Linked DNA regions of Caenorhabditis elegans. The protein of the gene in region 1 interacts with the protein of each later gene in a pairwise test. Each region holds a gene or a part of one and is shown in the gene's direction. Other genes may lie near its edges.

What was found.
Region 2: the proteins of metl-13 (region 1) and sut-1 interact in a two-hybrid assay, tested with the Caenorhabditis elegans proteins (one large-scale study listed by BioGRID).
Region 3: the proteins of metl-13 (region 1) and dpy-17 interact in a two-hybrid assay, tested with the Caenorhabditis elegans proteins (one large-scale study listed by BioGRID).
Region 4: the proteins of metl-13 (region 1) and wrt-5 interact in a two-hybrid assay, tested with the Caenorhabditis elegans proteins (one large-scale study listed by BioGRID).

Annotation. Positions count from the first base shown.
Region 1 is NC_003282.8:6,633,068-6,638,676, forward strand, and holds metl-13 (Methyltransferase domain-containing protein), read left to right. Parts: upstream 1-2,021; 5' UTR 2,022-2,024; coding exon 2,025-2,110; intron 2,111-2,348; coding exon 2,349-2,574; intron 2,575-2,648; coding exon 2,649-2,860; intron 2,861-2,905; coding exon 2,906-3,017; intron 3,018-3,069; coding exon 3,070-3,188; intron 3,189-3,234; coding exon 3,235-3,372; intron 3,373-3,420; coding exon 3,421-3,607; intron 3,608-3,651; coding exon 3,652-3,823; intron 3,824-4,082; coding exon 4,083-4,270; intron 4,271-4,317; coding exon 4,318-4,462; intron 4,463-4,516; coding exon 4,517-4,761; intron 4,762-4,811; coding exon 4,812-4,952; 3' UTR 4,953-5,088; downstream 5,089-5,609. Other genes in the region: C01B10.9 (Bis(5'-adenosyl)-triphosphatase), read left to right, coding at 1-114, 172-451, 783-903, 950-1,111, 1,179-1,451, 1,563-1,625; C01B10.7 (TransThyretin-Related family domain), read left to right, coding at 5,512-5,604.
Region 2 is NC_003280.10:1,120,495-1,124,863, reverse strand, and holds sut-1 (SUppressor of Tau pathology), read left to right. Parts: upstream 1-1,598; 5' UTR 1,599-1,610; coding exon 1,611-1,631; intron 1,632-1,691; coding exon 1,692-1,765; intron 1,766-1,815; coding exon 1,816-1,900; intron 1,901-1,997; coding exon 1,998-2,196; intron 2,197-3,058; coding exon 3,059-3,276; intron 3,277-3,675; coding exon 3,676-3,786; 3' UTR 3,787-3,851; downstream 3,852-4,369. Other genes in the region: eri-3 (Reverse transcriptase domain-containing protein), read right to left, coding at 405-586, 758-929, 1,104-1,177, 1,223-1,328.
Region 3 is NC_003281.10:5,105,402-5,109,014, forward strand, and holds dpy-17 (Cuticle collagen dpy-17), read left to right. Parts: upstream 1-1,928; 5' UTR 1,929-1,931; coding exon 1,932-2,346; intron 2,347-2,398; coding exon 2,399-3,042; 3' UTR 3,043-3,090; downstream 3,091-3,613. Other genes in the region: F54D8.6 (C2H2-type domain-containing protein), read left to right, coding at 1-454, 541-655, 931-1,041, 1,097-1,195, 1,263-1,419. UniProt on the Caenorhabditis elegans protein: Secreted collagen that forms part of the nematode cuticle, which functions as an exoskeleton and a barrier to protect the worm from its environment.
Region 4 is NC_003282.8:4,049,506-4,053,254, reverse strand, and holds wrt-5 (Warthog protein 5), read left to right. Parts: upstream 1-1,615; 5' UTR 1,616-1,636; coding exon 1,637-1,804; intron 1,805-2,587; coding exon 2,588-2,734; coding exon of another isoform or gene 2,735-2,800; coding exon 2,801-2,910; intron 2,911-2,956; coding exon 2,957-3,062; 3' UTR 3,063-3,249; downstream 3,250-3,749. UniProt on the Caenorhabditis elegans protein: Intercellular signal essential for a variety of patterning events during development.

The DNA of each region.
Region 1 (5,609 bases):
TAAAGAAACTTGACGATCTATTTCTTTATTTTATCAAAAAATTCGATGATAATAATTTGGGAGCTGATGTGAATATTATCCTAACAGCTGATCATGGACATGCAGAAATTAAAGGTAATAATTTAAAATAGTTGAAATTAAAATCTTCATAATTCCTAAAACTAAATTCAGATCACAAACATGTCATGTGCGTGAAAGATTATGTATCTGGCGCTGGATTCGAAATGGGTGATCATATGATTTATCCACACTCGGATGAAATTGGAAAACAAATTTATGCAAATTTAACATCAGCAGTGAAAGAGCATGGATATGATGTGAATATTCATTGGAGAGAGGAAGTTCCAGAAAGATGGCATTATCGAAACAGTTCGCGAATTGGAAAAATCGTTTTCGAGCCGCAAATCGGTTCTTCGATTTCGTTTTCGTGTACGAAGGATCTTATGGAAAAGTATGTGGTTTACAACCGGGCTGTGCGGCAAATTTTTCTGGCAAACGTAAACAATAGTAATGCAGAAACAGGTGCATTCTATCTGAAAATAATATTTAGCTTTGTTGAATAATTGGAAAAAAAACCTTAAATATTGCCCGAATGTTGTCATTTGCAGAATAACTTTTAACGGCACTATTTGAGACCTTTGTCAAGTTTTTCAACAAAAACAAATATCATTTTTAGATGGAATGGGACATTTTTTCTTGAATTATCATATTAAAAAAAGGCAGTTTGATCCGTTTACCGGAAAAAATATTACAACGATTAGTTTATTGAAATCAACTTTCAGGCAATATGGAGAAAACGGAACATTAAAATTCAATTCATCAACTCACGGACAAGATCCTGATCGTCCAGAGATGAGAGCTTTCCTTATTATGAGAGGCCCAGCGTTTTCTGAAAATTATACGGTATAAGCTAGGCATTTTGAGAACTGTATGATAAATATTCTTTCAGATTGCCGATATTCCTTCAAATGTGGATTTGTACAATATAATGTGTCATGTGCTTGGTATCACACCAACTGAAAATAATGGAACCATGGAAATTGTGAAACGAGCTTTAAAAGAGAACAGATATTTACCAATGACACATGGTTTCGTATTTAATCAGATTACGGTAGGTTATTCCACAGAGTATTTGACTCAATTCTAAAGCTTATCAAAAGCACATAATTTTTCTTCAGGATTCATGGAGTTTTTCGCTTATTTTAATTCCTTCAATGTGTATTGTTATAATATTCTTCGCTTATGGATGTAAGAATACCGTACTCAAATCTGATCCCAATTGGGGAAGATCCGATACAGTTCAAGGATATCGGCCATTGAGTAACCGGACGAACGAAGGATTCGAATTAAATGATGATGAGGATGAGGATGAAGGAGATGGATTAAGGAATTCGATAGATTTAGAAAGAGGTGGAAGAAGGAGTCAAGCAGGAGGTGGTGCACTTGGAAGTGTGAGTTTTATATTGAAATAATCGGAAAATCAAATATCGCTCGAAATTATTTTAAAGAAAAAATAAATAAAAAATTACCCGAAATGTTCTCAAAAATGTGTAGATTTTCAGCTGAACAATGGAACGGTAGCAATGTCTGGACTACTGGATGAAATGAGCGATGATGATATTTGATCTTTTTAATATAACTTTTTGCATTCAAATTGTAAATATTTCTTGTGACCTCTTTATATATTTCCCCCATTGTGCCTTCGATTTCTCTTTAATTTCTGCAGAATATTCAAATCACAAAGCAAAATATTTATCTCTTTATTTGTCCTAGTCATCCTTTCATCTCTTTTTGATTTTTTTCCCCGGTTGTGGATTTTCAGGATTTTCAAAATCATCCAAAGACAGTTTATCAATTTTCAATGTGATATATTTTCAAAAAAGATTACTTAACTTTAATAATGAATGTTTCTCATATTTTTTACTTCTTAATTATAATTTTATTTTCTTTGGTTTTCATTTAGCCTCATGTTTTATTTCGAGTATTTAAAATGATTATTTTTCTAGTTTCTATAGTTTCAGGCCATGTCCGCTCCAAATGAGCCACAATCTTTCACGGATCCAGCGTACTGGAAGAACTTCTTTGCAAAACGAAAATCTCCATTCGAATGGTAATTAAATAATTATATTTCTTTGTTAAAATATGATGTCTTTCAAACAAAATTAAAAGAAAATTATCACATCACTATCAAGTGTTTTTCAGATTTGTCAAAGAAAAATTATCAATGTTTCGAAAAATAACTTAAAATATTGACCATTTTTCTTCTTTTTAGATAGAAATTTTTCCTCATCAACATACACAAAAATTGAATGCTTTCGATTCTCATGTAAAAATTTGAATTCTTTCAGGTACGGTGACTATAATTCTTTATCAAATGTAATTGATAAATATTTGAAACCGAAAGACACGTTCCTTCAACTTGGATGTGGTAATTCGGAATTAGCGACCCAACTCTACGATAATGGATTTCATTGCATTCACAGTATTGATGTAGAACCATCTGTTATTGCCACACAGATTCGTAAAAATAAAGAACGACTCGGAATGACTTTTGAGACTGGAGATGCTGCTAATGTGAGTTTGGAGAATGTCCCGTTGTGCACAATGAACAATTAAAAGAAAAGAAATTCGAAAATAATATGTTATAGCTATCCATGGCCGATGAAGCACATACCATTGTAATTGATAAAGGAACTCTCGACGCTCTTCTTCCACCATCAGCTTCAGAATCCGATGAAGCATTGGTTACAAAGATGTTCGAGGAAGTTCATCGTGTATTGGCTTCTGGTGGAAGATATATCATTGTCACATTGGCTCAACCACATATCACCGAGTTCTGGATTAATCACTTCTATCCATTGTAAAATATTCATTTTTCTCAAAAATCTGTAAAACGTTATTCCAGAAAGCAATATATCCTACGTGTTCAAAAAGTTGAGAACAAGGCTTCTGGATTCCCAATGCCAGTTTTCTGCTTTATTGCCACGAAAATGCGAGCACCAATGCCAAATCCATTGGTAGGTAGATAAATTGCAAATTATTTTATTTAAATAAAACCTATATTTTTAGCCTCTAGAAGTTCTTCGCTCCAGCTCCATCCGTACTGATCGTATCGATAGCACTGACGAATTGAAGGATTCTATTCGTGGAGAACAGGAGCTCTCACAATTCATCTACCTGTGCTCGAAGTAATTCATTTTAGTTTTTCCCTTGAAATTAATGAAATTAATTTAGAAAGCTGGACTCTGAAGTTTCAATCGACTTTCATGGAGCAGATCCATCATTAGGACCACGTTATCGTATCTGTGTTGTTGATAATCCAGAAGCCAAGAAGATTGACACATTCGCCGCATTTGTGGTTCCAATTGGACGGTTTGTATAGAAAACATTTTTAAATTCGAATTCTTATATTAATTTCAGTGATTCTGAATGGCTATTCGCCTCACCAAAGGGACGAAAAGCTCTTCGTGTTCAATGTGGCCGCGAACGTCTCGCAATCGTTTTCCTCAACAGAAATCAAAAATATGAAAAAGGAATGGACGGTGTGAAGAGTGATATTGGACATTTTGTTGGAATGCTGGATGTTAGACAAGATAATACTGGAAATGTATGTAGAATTGAACACGAAACATATGAAAACCCGATTTTCAGTACGAAATTCTATCCATCGGAGGAGTCGATGTTAAGCGAACCGTTTCAACGGGACGTTCGGATATCAATGGTGGTTGGAGTGTTGAAGAAGTTACTGTTGAAGGAAATCAAACTAGAAGACTAGTTTTTCTGAATACGATGAATCTGGTACAATCTGAAGCTTATCTGAAAAGTTAGTAGTTGAAAATTTCATTTTTCAACCCCCTTTAAAGAGTAAAATGGATTTATTACAACTGAAAAATCAATGAAAACTGAGCAGCAACGAGATTTGAAAATTGCAGTATTGTTTAAAGGCGCACATCCTTCTGTATTATTTTCGGTGGAAAAAGAATAACATTTCCCATCTTGTTAATACACGAGAGGTAGTTTATCAGAATTAAAAAAGAACGGTTTAATGATGCTCACCTCAAAATTTAAAATTAACATTACAGCCGGAAAGAAGAAGCAAACGGTCATAGATCTCGATCAATTGGCATGCGATTTCCATAGAATGATGATCGGATCCCTAGCCATCAGTCCGCAACAACCATTAGCCAAGAATGATGCTCAGTGTAAGATGGCTGTTCTTGGATTAGGTGGTGGACTTTTGACTGCATATCTTGTCAGACATTTCAAAAAGGTATCAATCAAGTCTAGAAACTTAACAGTGCTAAATTTTCGTTTCAGGCTCATGTAACCGCTGTGGAACTTGATCCAGAAGTACTCAAAATCGCAAATTCTCACTTCTCGTTCCCCCATTCGGACGCTAGAATTGACGTTGTCATCCAAGATGCTCTTATTCATCTCCAGGAGACTGCAAAGAAACCTGAAGGTATTTAAAATATCATGTTCAAATTTTATTTTACAAATCAATTCTTATTTCCAGAAGAGAAATACGATGTGATTTTTGTGGATGTTTCTGGAAGTCAGAACGCTGCTCTTCAATGCCCACCATCCGCCTTCCTTACCCCAGAAGCTCTAGGAAATATGAAAAACTCGGTGAAAGAACAAGGAATGATTAGTTTGAATTTGGTTACACGCGATTCGGAATTCGGAAAGTCGATTAAAAAGAATATCGCAGAGTATTTCCCAACTCTCTACACAGTTCTGTCCTTCGAAGATGTTAATGAGGTAAACTAAATTAATTATTGAAATTCTACTAGCAAATATATTTCTTTCAGATTATCATCGGTCTCAAAACACCCAAGAACACAATAAAACCAGTGGTTCCTCAGAAATTAATCAACACAGTTCGCAAAGATATTGGAAGCTATGATGAGGTTGTCGGTGCTATCTCAAACATTCGTATGGTTGATTATTAATTGCACAATTTCGTTTGTTATCTTGTTTATTTTCAGTAATTTTTTATTATATGTATTCGATTGTTCCCAGTTATTCAAATTTTCCCCCGTTTGTTGTTTCGTTTGTTCACCTGATGAATTTTGTTTTACACTTTGCAAACATGTCTAATGTTCTCACGGTGCAGTGAAAAACAACTTTGCAGGAAAAACAACTATTAACAGCATATTCGATATCTCGACGCGATCCTACTGTACTTCCGATGTAGACTATTTGGAATTCCACTAGGAAGTTGTGCAAATTATCTGTATTTGATTATGCGGCCAAAACTATTCTATAATAACTTTGGAACTAAAAAATATTTTCCGTCACAAAATATGAAACTTTTAATTTTTGATCGTCAGTTTTTCTACAAAATAGTATTCATTTTGGTAGTGATCTGTACTGCAGAAATAGATTAATCTCTAAAAAAGTTCAGACAACGAGTAATTTCTATCAAACTGTGTTTTTTAATCTTTTAATTTTTATTTCCGCCTCTCACCGTGCGGTTATAAAATTCATAAGTTCACTTGTGCGGCCATCATGGTTCAAGTTAGTACTGTACTTTCTCTATTTCTATTGCTAATATGTCTAGTTGATTCCAGTTCTGAACCAAAACGTACAATGATAAGAAAGGTAAC
Region 2 (4,369 bases), on another chromosome or scaffold:
AAAGTGAATTTTGAGTAGAGATATTCTGTGTAAAGTAGTATTCTGACGGGAAATTTGAATTTTTGAGTTAAATTCTATCAATTTCAACCCAAAAATTCGAATTTCTCGCTGACCGCAAGCTGCAAATGCGCGCTAATGCAAAATTTGCATTGGAGCGCACTCGCAGCACGCGGTGGGTGGGAAATGTTTTTTTAAGTGGAGAATGCACGTTTTTCAGCCAAAATTAAATTTTTCTTCGAAGAAAATTGTTTTTAAAAAAATTTTTCAATGAAAAATCTAATTTTCGGCAATAATTTATTTAAAATTCACTTTTTCAATTAAAAATTCAAAGGCAAAACCCCGTTTTTTTCGCAATTTTCTCAATAGAGCACATTTTTTCCGTTGGAAAATTCAAATTCCCGTACATCTTTAATCTCGAATTCGGTGCGTCCAATGCTATGCGCCTTTAAGGTCTCGTAGCGAATAACAGGCGAGCAGTTCGGATGGAAAGCTACAGTAATATTTCGTTCGGTGACTCCAATTGCGACGCCAGCAGTCGACGGGGAGTTGAATGTGACGAAAACCTGCTCGCGGAGCATTGCACAACCTGAAAATTTGAATTTCTCATGATTTGTTCGGTGGAGCGAGCTTGCAGCATCCGGTCGGCGGGAAATTCAAATTTTTAGGTTATAAACTTGAATTTTCACCGAATTTTCGAATTTGCAAGTGTTTCAGGGTGAATTTTGGCGGGAAATTCGAATTTCCGGGTCAAACTTACACTTATAAACCTCCATTTTCTCGATTTGCACTATAATATGATTCCCGCGGACCACCCGTTCGAAGCTCCGGCTCCAGAAGATCTGAACGACGGATCCCACACCGATTGGGTCGAAATTTGACGGATATTGTATACACGTGGCTTTTGAGAAGATAAAATGAATGCCGGAATCCTGAAAATTGCGAGTTTTTAAATTTTTTGCAAAAAAAAAATTGGAAAATCATGGTTTTTTTTTCGATTTTTAACTGTTTTTTCGTCGTGTTTTTAAGGCAATTTTTGCGATTTTTATCAATAATTTGCATATTTTAGGACTCCAAATATCGATTTTCCCTGGAAATTCCCTTACATCAAACGCCTCCTGCGTAATAACCTCTCCGGTACCATTCGAATAGCATATTATGACACCAGACGAGCTTGAATCTGAATTTACAAGCTTTAAAATCAAATTTGGCACTAAAAACTCACAATTTGCGCCTTCAAACTGGTCTTCTTGCTCGATTAAATTGAGTTTTGACTCGGATTCGTGCGATTTCACCCGTAATGGTCGACTATTTACAAGAACGGGTTGCATACCTGAAGAAAAATCGGATTTTTAGGAATTTTTATTGATTTTAACAGAAAAAATCAGAAAAAACGGGAGAAAATGAATAAAAATAGCGAAAAAATCAGCGAAATTAATTCAAAAAATCGTGGTGGCCGAGTCTAAAGTCAAAATGGCCTAGAAAACCCCTCCTCGGCCACCATTTATTTTTTTGAAAAAAATTGTTTTTTATCGATTTTCGCCAGTTTTCCGTCGATTTTCTCCATTTTTTCTCATAAAATCTATAGAAAGTTATTTAAATTTCAGATAATTATGTCGGGAGCCTCGAAAAAAGTGAGTTTTTATCGTTTTTCAAGGATTTTTCGCAGAAAATCGATTTTTCTCTATTTCCAGGTATCAGAGGAAGAGTTGCAGAAGCAATACGCAGACTATCGAGCTCAATTCGAGCAGTGGAAGGAGAATAATAAGTGGGAAACTCGAGTTTCGGGGAAAAATTGCAAATTTGGATGATTTTCAGGGGTTCCATTGGCACGGAGGCTTATAATTCGTATGTACAGCAATTCGAGCAGTGGGAGAAAGAAGTGGAGGCGAGAACGTCACAGGTTCGTAAAAAAAACCTAAAAATTATAGAAAAATCTGGAAAAAAGACAATTTTTGACCCAAAAATGCTGAATTTACTTTAAAATGTTCAATTTTCAGCAACAAAAGCACCGAAAAGCGGCGGCAGTTGACAAGGAGGCAGAAGCGGCGGCGGCCGCCTACGCACAATCACAAGAAGCCTACATGGCACATCATTTGAGAGGAATGGAGCAGACGGAAATGCAGAAAAGAGCCGCTGCTGCAGCTCAGCTCCAGCAGCAACAAATGATGCAGAATATGATGATGCAGAGACCGCCACGTACGGTTTTTAACCGGAAAATTTGAATTTTTCGCTGAAATTTGCATTAGAGCGCATTTGGAACAGCCGAAATTCAAAATTCCGTAAAAATTTGACTTTTTCGCCGATATTTGCATTGGAGCGCCCTTGAAACACGGAGAAATTCAAAATTTTGTAAAAATTTGATTTTTCCACCAAAATTCGCATTGGAGCGCACTTGGAACATTCAATATTTCAAAATTTTATGAAAAGTTGAATTTTGAACCGAAAATCTCAGTTTTCCGCTACAATTCACACTAGAGCACATTTGCAGCACCGAAAAGTTCAATTTTTACGAAAAAATCGAATTTCCCGCTGAAATTAGCATTAGAGCGCACTTGAATCACTCGGAAATTCAAACTTTTGTTAAAATATAAACTTCCGCCTAAAATTTGCATTAGAGCGCACTTTAGACACTAGAAAATTCAAGAATTCTGTGAAAATTTAAATTATTATTTGAAATTTGCATTGGAGCGCACTTGAAACACTTGAAAATTCGAAATTTTGTGAAAATTTGAATTTTTCACCAAAATTCGCATTAGAGCGCACTTGAAACACTTGAAATTTCAAAACTTTAGAAAAATTTTGAATTTTCCGTTAAAATTTGTATTGTAGCGCATTTTAGACACTAGAAAATTCGAATTTCTCGCTAAAATTCGCATTAGAGCTGATTTGCAACACCGACAAATTCAATTTTTAGGAAAAATTCGAATTTACCGCCAAAATTCGCATTAGAGCGCACTTGAAACACTCAAAAATTCAAAATTGCCAAAAAATTCAAATTTCCCTCTAAAATTCGCATCAGAGCGCACTTGAAACACTCAAAAATTCAAATTTTTACCAGCAGAACACCAGCAACCACCGCCACAAGACGTGATGTTCGGAGCCGTAGGACGTGTAGCTCAGGGAGCTCCAGCCGCCGCACCACCGCCCACGCAACAACCACCACCACAACTATGGGGAAACAATAAGCCGATCTACGATGCGCGGGACCCACTTTTTGCGAAATGGGGTGAACGAGCGGCGTCGGCACACTGCAAACCGGAGACCGAGCAGCAAATTGTAGGGAATTTTTGGAAAATCCTGGAAAATCTGAAAAATAGCCCGAAAATATCTGAAAATCCCGAGAAAATGGCGTTTTTGAGGTGTTTTTGCCTATTAAAACACGAATTTTGACCCGTTTTTGACATTTTTTCTCAAAAAATGCGTTATTTTCCCCCAAAAGTTCAAAATTCCCGTTAAAATTCAAATTTTAGCCAGAAATTTGAATTTCCTAGCTAATGCAAATACGCTCTACTGATAATCTGTGACTTGTGTGCCTTTATCCTCATTGATGGCTAGAATATCGGTATTCTCGGCTGAAACATGCAATAAATACCGTATTCCAACCAACAATTTGTGCAATAGAGCACATTTGTCACTGGGGATGCGGAAGCTATGCCCAAATTTTGAATTTTTCAGAACCCGGTCGCCTGTTGGCTCCTTCTAGATGCTCTCCGCGAGAAGAAAATGGTCCTGGCTCCGCACTCGAACACGTGTCCTCCTCCACAAATCGGTGGACATCAAATTTGATAAATTTTGTACAATTAAATAAAAATATTTTTTTTTCACTTTTAATGAATTTTCAACAAATTCCACCGTTTTTTTTTTCGTTTTTTGGGGAGTTGATAGGCGTGTAGGCATGTAGGTAGGCTTGAGGTAGGCACGAGACAGGTGTGTAGGCAAAAATTTAGAGAATAGGCATGTATGCAGATAGGTAGGCATGATGTAGTTGTGTAGGCATCAGGTAAGAGTGTAGGCACGTTGGTTAGCATTAGGTAGGAGTGTATGCAGATATGTAGACATGATGTTAGCATGTAGGTATGAGGTAAAAGTGTAGGCGCGTAGGCAGGTATGCTGTAGGTAGGCAGGTAGGCGTGTAGGCATAAGCTAAGAGTGTAGGCACGTAGGTAGGGATGAGGTAGGTACGTCGGTTAGCATGAGAGAGGCATGTAGGCACGTAGGCACGTGACAGAGTAAGGATATTATAATTGAATCAAGGTGATGCTCTTTTTTTAGTAAAAGTGTGCACTTTTGGATTTTTAGGTAAAGCCATGTTTAGAAATTCATAAAAAAAAATTTCTGTCATTGCGTGGAATCGAACCCCAGACCCATT
Region 3 (3,613 bases), on another chromosome or scaffold:
TGGAATCAACGACATAATTATACACCTGTTGATCATTCGAAAGGAATTCCTGGAGTCGATAGACCACCTGGTGGTAATAGGGATCGTGGTGAAAAGGTTCGGAGCAAGTCGCCAGTTACAGGAGTTGATAGACCACCAGGTGGAGACAGAATTGAACGAAGTAGGGATCGAGAACCGGGTGGTGGTGTTCCTGGGGTTGATCGGGCGCCAGGCAGAGGATCTCGTGGAATCGATCGCCCACCTGGAGGTGATTCTCGTGGTGTTGATCGACCACCTGGAGGTGGAGGAATTCCTGGAGTAGATCGGCCACCAGGAGGTGGAAGGCGCGGAGTTGATAGACCACCAGGATCTGGAATGCCTGGAATCGATCGGCCACCTGGAGGGGATCGAATGGGTGATAAGCAAAGAAGAGGAGCGAGAGGAGGTGTTAAGGAAAGAGAAAGAAAACGAAGAAGTAAGTTTATTCAACCTTTATTCCACGAAAATTCGAAATCCTTATGTTTTTTTTTAAATATTTTTAAATAACGCTTTATTTTTCAGGAGATGAATTCCAGCGAGGAGGTGGTGGTGGTGGCCGAGGCGGTGGCCGTGATGGTGGAAGAGATTATGGTGGTCCTCCGCAAAAATCTGGGCGACGTGATCGATATGATGATTAGTGAGTTCAGCAATGAGCAGAGATATAAAACACATTGAGAAAGTATACGAAAGCCCCTTTTTCTCAGCTATCTCGGAAAGTAACTTTACTTTCAATTGAAATTTTCGAAAATTTGCTCTAAAACTGACTCAAATAATGCCGATCGACACTTCACGACTTTGAGGCAGTTTGTCAAAAACTTCTCGAAGCCTTCAATTAAACATAAAAAAGTATTTGTGACTATTCGCGTTTCGAAACCCCAAAAAAATTTCAATTTTTCAAAATCTCGATTTCAGCGATCGATCGTATCAAGGAACAAGTGGATATGGACAAGATTATGATTCACAAACATATGGAGAACGTGGTTACGATGGACATTATCAAGGACAAGAGGATTATTATGGAAGGTAATAAAATTAAATATTTTAAAATGAAATTAATTAAATTTAATAAACGTTTCAGTCAAGAAGGATATGGAGAATATAATCAGCAACACTACGGTGAAGGATACGATCAACAAGGATATGGGCAAAATGGAGATTCATATTATGGACATGAAGGGTAAGGAAAATCACTTTTTTAATTGTTTGAATTGTATTTTTATTCAAAAATAATTACCTATTTTCAGCCAAGATGCATCGACATATTACCAAGAAGATGGCAGTCAATACTACAATCAATACTACGGTACTGCTCCTGCAGAAGGTGAAGCTTCAGCTGTAACTGGAACGGATTATCATGCAACATTCAGTGTACCACCACCACCGGCTCCCCCTCCGTCATAAATTTAAGAATTGGGAAAACTAAATATTTTTGAATCAAAAAACTTCCTTTTTCAATATTTTCTTCAATTCTTTCCCGATTTCTTTCAATTTCAATAGTTGACTTTTATTTATTTTTAATTTATAAAATTTCTTATATTCTTCTTCCTCCTTCTATTGTATGAATATTAAAAACAGGTCCTTCGACCCGAAAAATCCCCTTCTCAAATCTAGGTCATCATATCGGAGATAACGGACAATTATGCATAATATTCGAGATGATTATCATATCGGTCATATGAGGGGGCGGAGTCTCGCATACAGTAGTCCTTTGTCCTTGTGCGAGGGAGTTTATGAGTATAAAAGGGTCCCTGAGAGAGGAGAAATGGACACTTTTATCAAAACATTTTCCATCTTTGTTTATTTTGACGATATTTATTCGCTGATACGAATTTTTGCAATTTTTATCCCGGATACCGTATTTCTTGGCAATTCAGATTACGCGCAAATTCTAGAATAAACATGTTTTCCAGATCATGTCAGTGTTCGCGGGATATGCCGCGTGCACCCTCGGTGCCGTTTCGATGCTTCTCTGCGTCTCTCTTGTCCCACAAGTCTATCAGCAAGTCTCGATGCTCCGGGACGAGTTGACGACTGAAATGGAGGCATGGCGTCTCGAGTCCGATCAAATCTACATGGATATGCAGAAGTTCGGACGTGTCCGTCGTCAAGCCGGAGGATACGGTGGATATGGTGGATACGGTAGCGGACCATCTGGACCATCCGGACCATCTGGACCACACGGTGGATTCCCAGGAGGCCCACAAGGACACTTCCCAGGAAATACTGGATCATCGAACACCCCAACTCTTCCAGGAGTTATTGGAGTTCCACCATCAGTTACTGGACATCCAGGAGGAAGCCCAATCAACCCAGATGGATCCCCATCTGGTAAGTATAGAAAAAATAGTCCAAAGATCTTATATAAATTGAACATTTACAGCTGGACCAGGAGACAAGTGCAATTGCAACACCGAAAACTCATGCCCAGCTGGACCAGCCGGACCAAAGGGAACTCCAGGACATGATGGACCAGATGGAATTCCAGGAGTTCCAGGAGTTGACGGAGAAGATGCTGATGATGCCAAGGCTCAGACTCAACAATACGATGGATGCTTCACTTGCCCAGCTGGACCACAAGGACCACCAGGATCCCAAGGAAAGCCAGGAGCCCGTGGAATGCGTGGAGCCCGTGGACAAGCCGCTATGCCAGGAAGAGACGGATCCCCAGGAATGCCCGGATCTTTGGGACCAATTGGACCACCAGGAGCCGCTGGAGAAGAAGGACCAACTGGAGAGCCAGGAGCCGATGTTGAACACCAAATCGGACTTCCAGGAGCCAAGGGAACTCCAGGAGCACCAGGAGAGTCTGGAGATCAAGGAGAGCAAGGAGATCGTGGAGCAACTGGAATTGCTGGACCACCAGGAGAGCGTGGACCACAGGGAGAGAAGGGAGATGATGGACCAAATGGAGCCGCTGGAAGTCCAGGAGAGGAAGGAGAGCCAGGACAAGATGCTCAATATTGTCCATGCCCACAGAGAAACACCAACGCCGCTGTCTCTGGAAACCAAGGATACAGAAACTAATTTCACATTATTATTTGTGATTTGTGTTGTTGAAGAAAATAAATTATTTTATTCTCATAACTTTTTTCAATCGAAGGATGTTTTCAGAGAAGCATGTTATCCTAGTTCAGATAATCTCAAGAAATAGGCTTACTATAACAGAAAAAGTTAACTGAATTGCAAACATTTTCAGATAGTAGAAATATAATCAAAACACTTCCAAGCTTTGAAATAGAATACTAAAATATTAAAAAAAAAAACACCCTATTTCCCCAACGAAAATGTTTTGTTACTATTTAATTGAACGATTGTGAACCTATTTTACAAAAAAAGCATTTTGATCTACCAGTTGAACTCAACATATATTTATTTTCAAAAGAATTTCAAAAGATAGATCAAAATAGTTTATCTGAGTTTTTTCATTAATTTTTCCCATGAAAACAGATTCAATACTTGCGAGCATCCTTCTTGTCTCTCTTTCAATGATGCCCGACAAGACACACAGAAACTGTTTCTTTCTCTGCCGTCTCTTATGTATAGAGTGTCCCGAACAGCTGTTTGGAAACGATGGCCGAGTCTGAATGGCCTTGTC
Region 4 (3,749 bases), 2.6 Mb from region 1:
CATGATAATGAATTTTTCCGCTGAATTTTACCAGTTTTCACTCACTTTAGGTCCTTTTTACCCAGTTTTTGACACCTTTTGGCAGGTTAATCGGGCGTGATCCAGTTTTAACTGTTTTGTGCCATTTTTAGTCAGTTACAGACAAATTTTGCCAATTTGAACGAAAATTTTGTCAAATTTCCTACCATGCAGCAGAACTGTCTAGCCGAGTGGCTTTCGGTAATGAGCCAAGCTTCCATGTGGCTCAGCTCAAAAAGTGATGATTCGTATTGTCATGTGGTGTCCATCCGCCAGATGACCCATGAACCTCGATTTTCACACCAAATATTCATGACTTCTTAAGAAACCACCCTCAAGCTTTTCTCACGTTTCCAACATCTTCTCTGCGTCTCTTGATTCTCCACGCTTTGATAGGTCTGAAGTTTGGAGCTTGGTCGCCAACACTTGAGAAGGAAGGATGATGGGAAAATGTCTGATGTGGAGTCAAGAATAGAACTGGAAAAGAGAACAGTGAGGTCTGTCTGGAGCCGAGAGGCTTCCTGGGCTCCATGGCTTTGCCGAATTTCACCCATTTCTAGGTGACAAGCTCGAAATTTCTAGATGACCGAGGTTTTTGCTCAGCCTTTTTGGAGAGCTTGAACTTTTCGAGCTTCTCCTCCTCTGCTCCTTGCACACACCAATTGTTTTTCTTATATACTTGCCACCCTTTTCCGTCCTCCATCTCCTCGTCACTCCATTTTCTAACACCTCGGCAACACACACACACTCTCCGGGTTTCAAACGCTGTCTCCTCTAAATGAGTAGTAGCATTGAATTATCGGTTAATCTACATCTCCACGCCGAATGACCAGCGAACAACATTTCATCGCGACTTTGATGAGGCGGCGGCGGCGTTGCATTTGTACATTTTTCTGTTTTATTTCTACAGCGTAGGATTTTTAGAGACCTAGTAGTAAATTCTATAACTTTCAGCTTAAAAGTACAAATAGTCCTGTACATGGCTAAACTCCCAGCGATTTTCGCCGAGCGCTGGCCCAATTGTTCCCATACGGCAATGAAAGATCCGAGAGATCCCAGAAGGTCATAGGATGATTAGAGATATCTGGAATCTGTTTTAGAATCTTTTTTTTTTTTTGAATTTTTAGAGCTATGGGGGAGTAATCTACGGGGAGTTTTAGGCAGCCTACAGTGGTTCTAGGCAGTCTACTAAAGTACTAGGCAGTCTACTGAGGTTTCAGGCAACCTACTACGGTTCTTGACAGCTTACTCGGCTCTAGGCAACCCACTGGGGTGTTAGGCAGCCTACTGAGGTTTTAGGCAGCTTTGAGGTACTTACGGTCGTCCAGAAGCCTCACGATCTTCTGGAATGTTGAAATACTAAAGTTCACCAGTATTTCCAATCAAAAACTTCATAGGAAAAAAATGAAATGGTCTTGTTAATTCAAAGGTACACAGACACGCATGTTTAACCTTTCTCACTTCTTCCAAATATTTGTTCATATTCGATGACATTTCCCCCCACCCCGACCAAAAAATGCCGTAATACGAGCACACATTTTCTGTCTCTGGCCCCAATTTGAACTTTTCCACTGAAAAATTCCCGTCTAAAATTTCAAAGTTTCAGCATCCGACCACCATGTGCTCCATGTGGCTCATGGCTTCATGGCTCATGGCTTTTGTGGCCGGCTCCACTCTCGCAGACTACTGTGGGGATCACAAGGTGCCATTTGGCATGGAGGTGCACAAAAATGGCAATGTGAACATTTTGTGCTCGCGGCCCAGTTGTCACGAGAAGAAGTATGCAGTGAGTTGTTTTTCCGGTTACACCGCATTTTACGATAAATTGCAGTCGGATATTATCGAAATTTCCACATTTTACAGTGAAAATTCGTATGTTTGAATTTTGTGTTTGTTTCTAGGTTATTTTCAAAATTTTCCCAGTTACTGTAGCTCCATGTATGTGTAAACACCAGATTTGACGCCAAATTGCAGAAAAACTTGGAAAACCCGGAAAACTAAAAAAAAACCCTATTTTAACACATTTTTGTCATACAGAAAAATATTTTAAATTAGTTTTTGAAACATTTCAGAAATTTCCAATCACAAGCCGACTACCGTAACCCCAAAAACCATATCTTACGAAAAAATGCACAGAAAATCGAAAAATTAACCCGAGAATTGTAAAAACGACGGTTTTTTTTCGAAAATTAGCAAAAATATCCGTACTGTAGCTCCATTTCCGTGCAAACACCGACTACAGTAACCCAAAGCACTGGATTTGACGCCAAATTGCACGAAATGTCGCAAAATGGCTCCAAAATGCGAAAATCTTACCGTTTCTAATTGATTTTTTGATATTTCATCAAATTATTGTCGAACGTTTTGAAAAACGATTTATTCTTAGCTATTTAGCCCATTTTTTAATTAATTTTGCTTACTGTAGCCCCGTTTTTGTGAAAACACCGGCTACCGTACCCCAAAACACTAGATCTTGCCACAAAATGCACAAAAAGACGAATTTAGGGTGAAAAATCGTGCAAATCCTAGTAAAAATCATGAAATTTATCATTTTCTCAATTTTTTCCAGGAATGCCCGGAACGAGCGACTTCAACGACATGCTCCACCAATTCCTCGTGGGTCGGGGGAGTAACTCAACATTCTGACGGAAGTCTGCGGCTTATGTGTTGTGAATATGACCTTCTTCCCACATATTCAACGATTCAGTATGAGAAAGTAGGGATTTTTGGCGGGAAATTTGAAAAAATTGGGGGAATTTTTCATGAAAATCCAAATTTCCAGCTTACTATCCGCACTGGCGAGTATTTCGAGGGCGATGAGCAAATGGAAGGGGATGTTGTGACGGCTTTTGACCTGATTGGCAATATTGAGCAAGTCAAAGAGCCCGATGGGTAGGTTTTTCTCGATTATTTCAAAAATTTTGCTCGGTTTTTGCAGAAAATACTCCTACAATCTCCTCATCTACCGCTATCATTGCGGAAATATTCCCGACACACCGCCGGCATGGTACATGAAGAAACAGTGGCCGTATTGGGAAAAATGAACGATTTTTCGGCGGGAATAATTTATTTTTTTATGTTTTTCTATGCGTTTTCGGGTGTTTTCGGGTTGCTAAGCGATTGGTTGCCTTTTTGAATCACTAGTCTTGGTTTTTGTTGTTTCTGTGAATGAATAATTGGTTTTTCGAGGTTTTTTTGTCAAACATGCCTAAAAAATAAATTATGACGTTTTAGTTGATTTGTTTGTTCTTTAAACGTCTGAAAATAAGGTTTAAATCTAATTTATTAATTATAAAATTCGTCAAAATAAGTTGCGCGTCAAATTATATGTATTGTACGCAGTGTCAAACTCCAGGCCTCAGTTTTCATGAATTTACCAGCGATTTTTGTTATAAATTTTTTTATTGAAATTTAAAATTTTTATTTTTCAACCAATTTGCCTCGAAAATTCGTTATTTCCCCATTAAAAACCGCTTTTCTAAAGTGTTGCGCGTCAAATAAAATGCCTGGTACGCAATGCACGGAGAATGCGCAAAGGACGACTGCTGGCGCACTTTTTGAATGCGGTAAATTGAGGCGCGAAGTTTCATTCGAAAACGCGCGCGAAACTTCATTCATCGCACTTTCTCCGTTCATTTCGTCCTATTTTTTTGTGGTTTTTCGCGATTTTTTCGCTTTTCTGAGTGAAAAAATAATTTTCCTTCGTTTTTTCAATGAAAATCCGCGGAAAA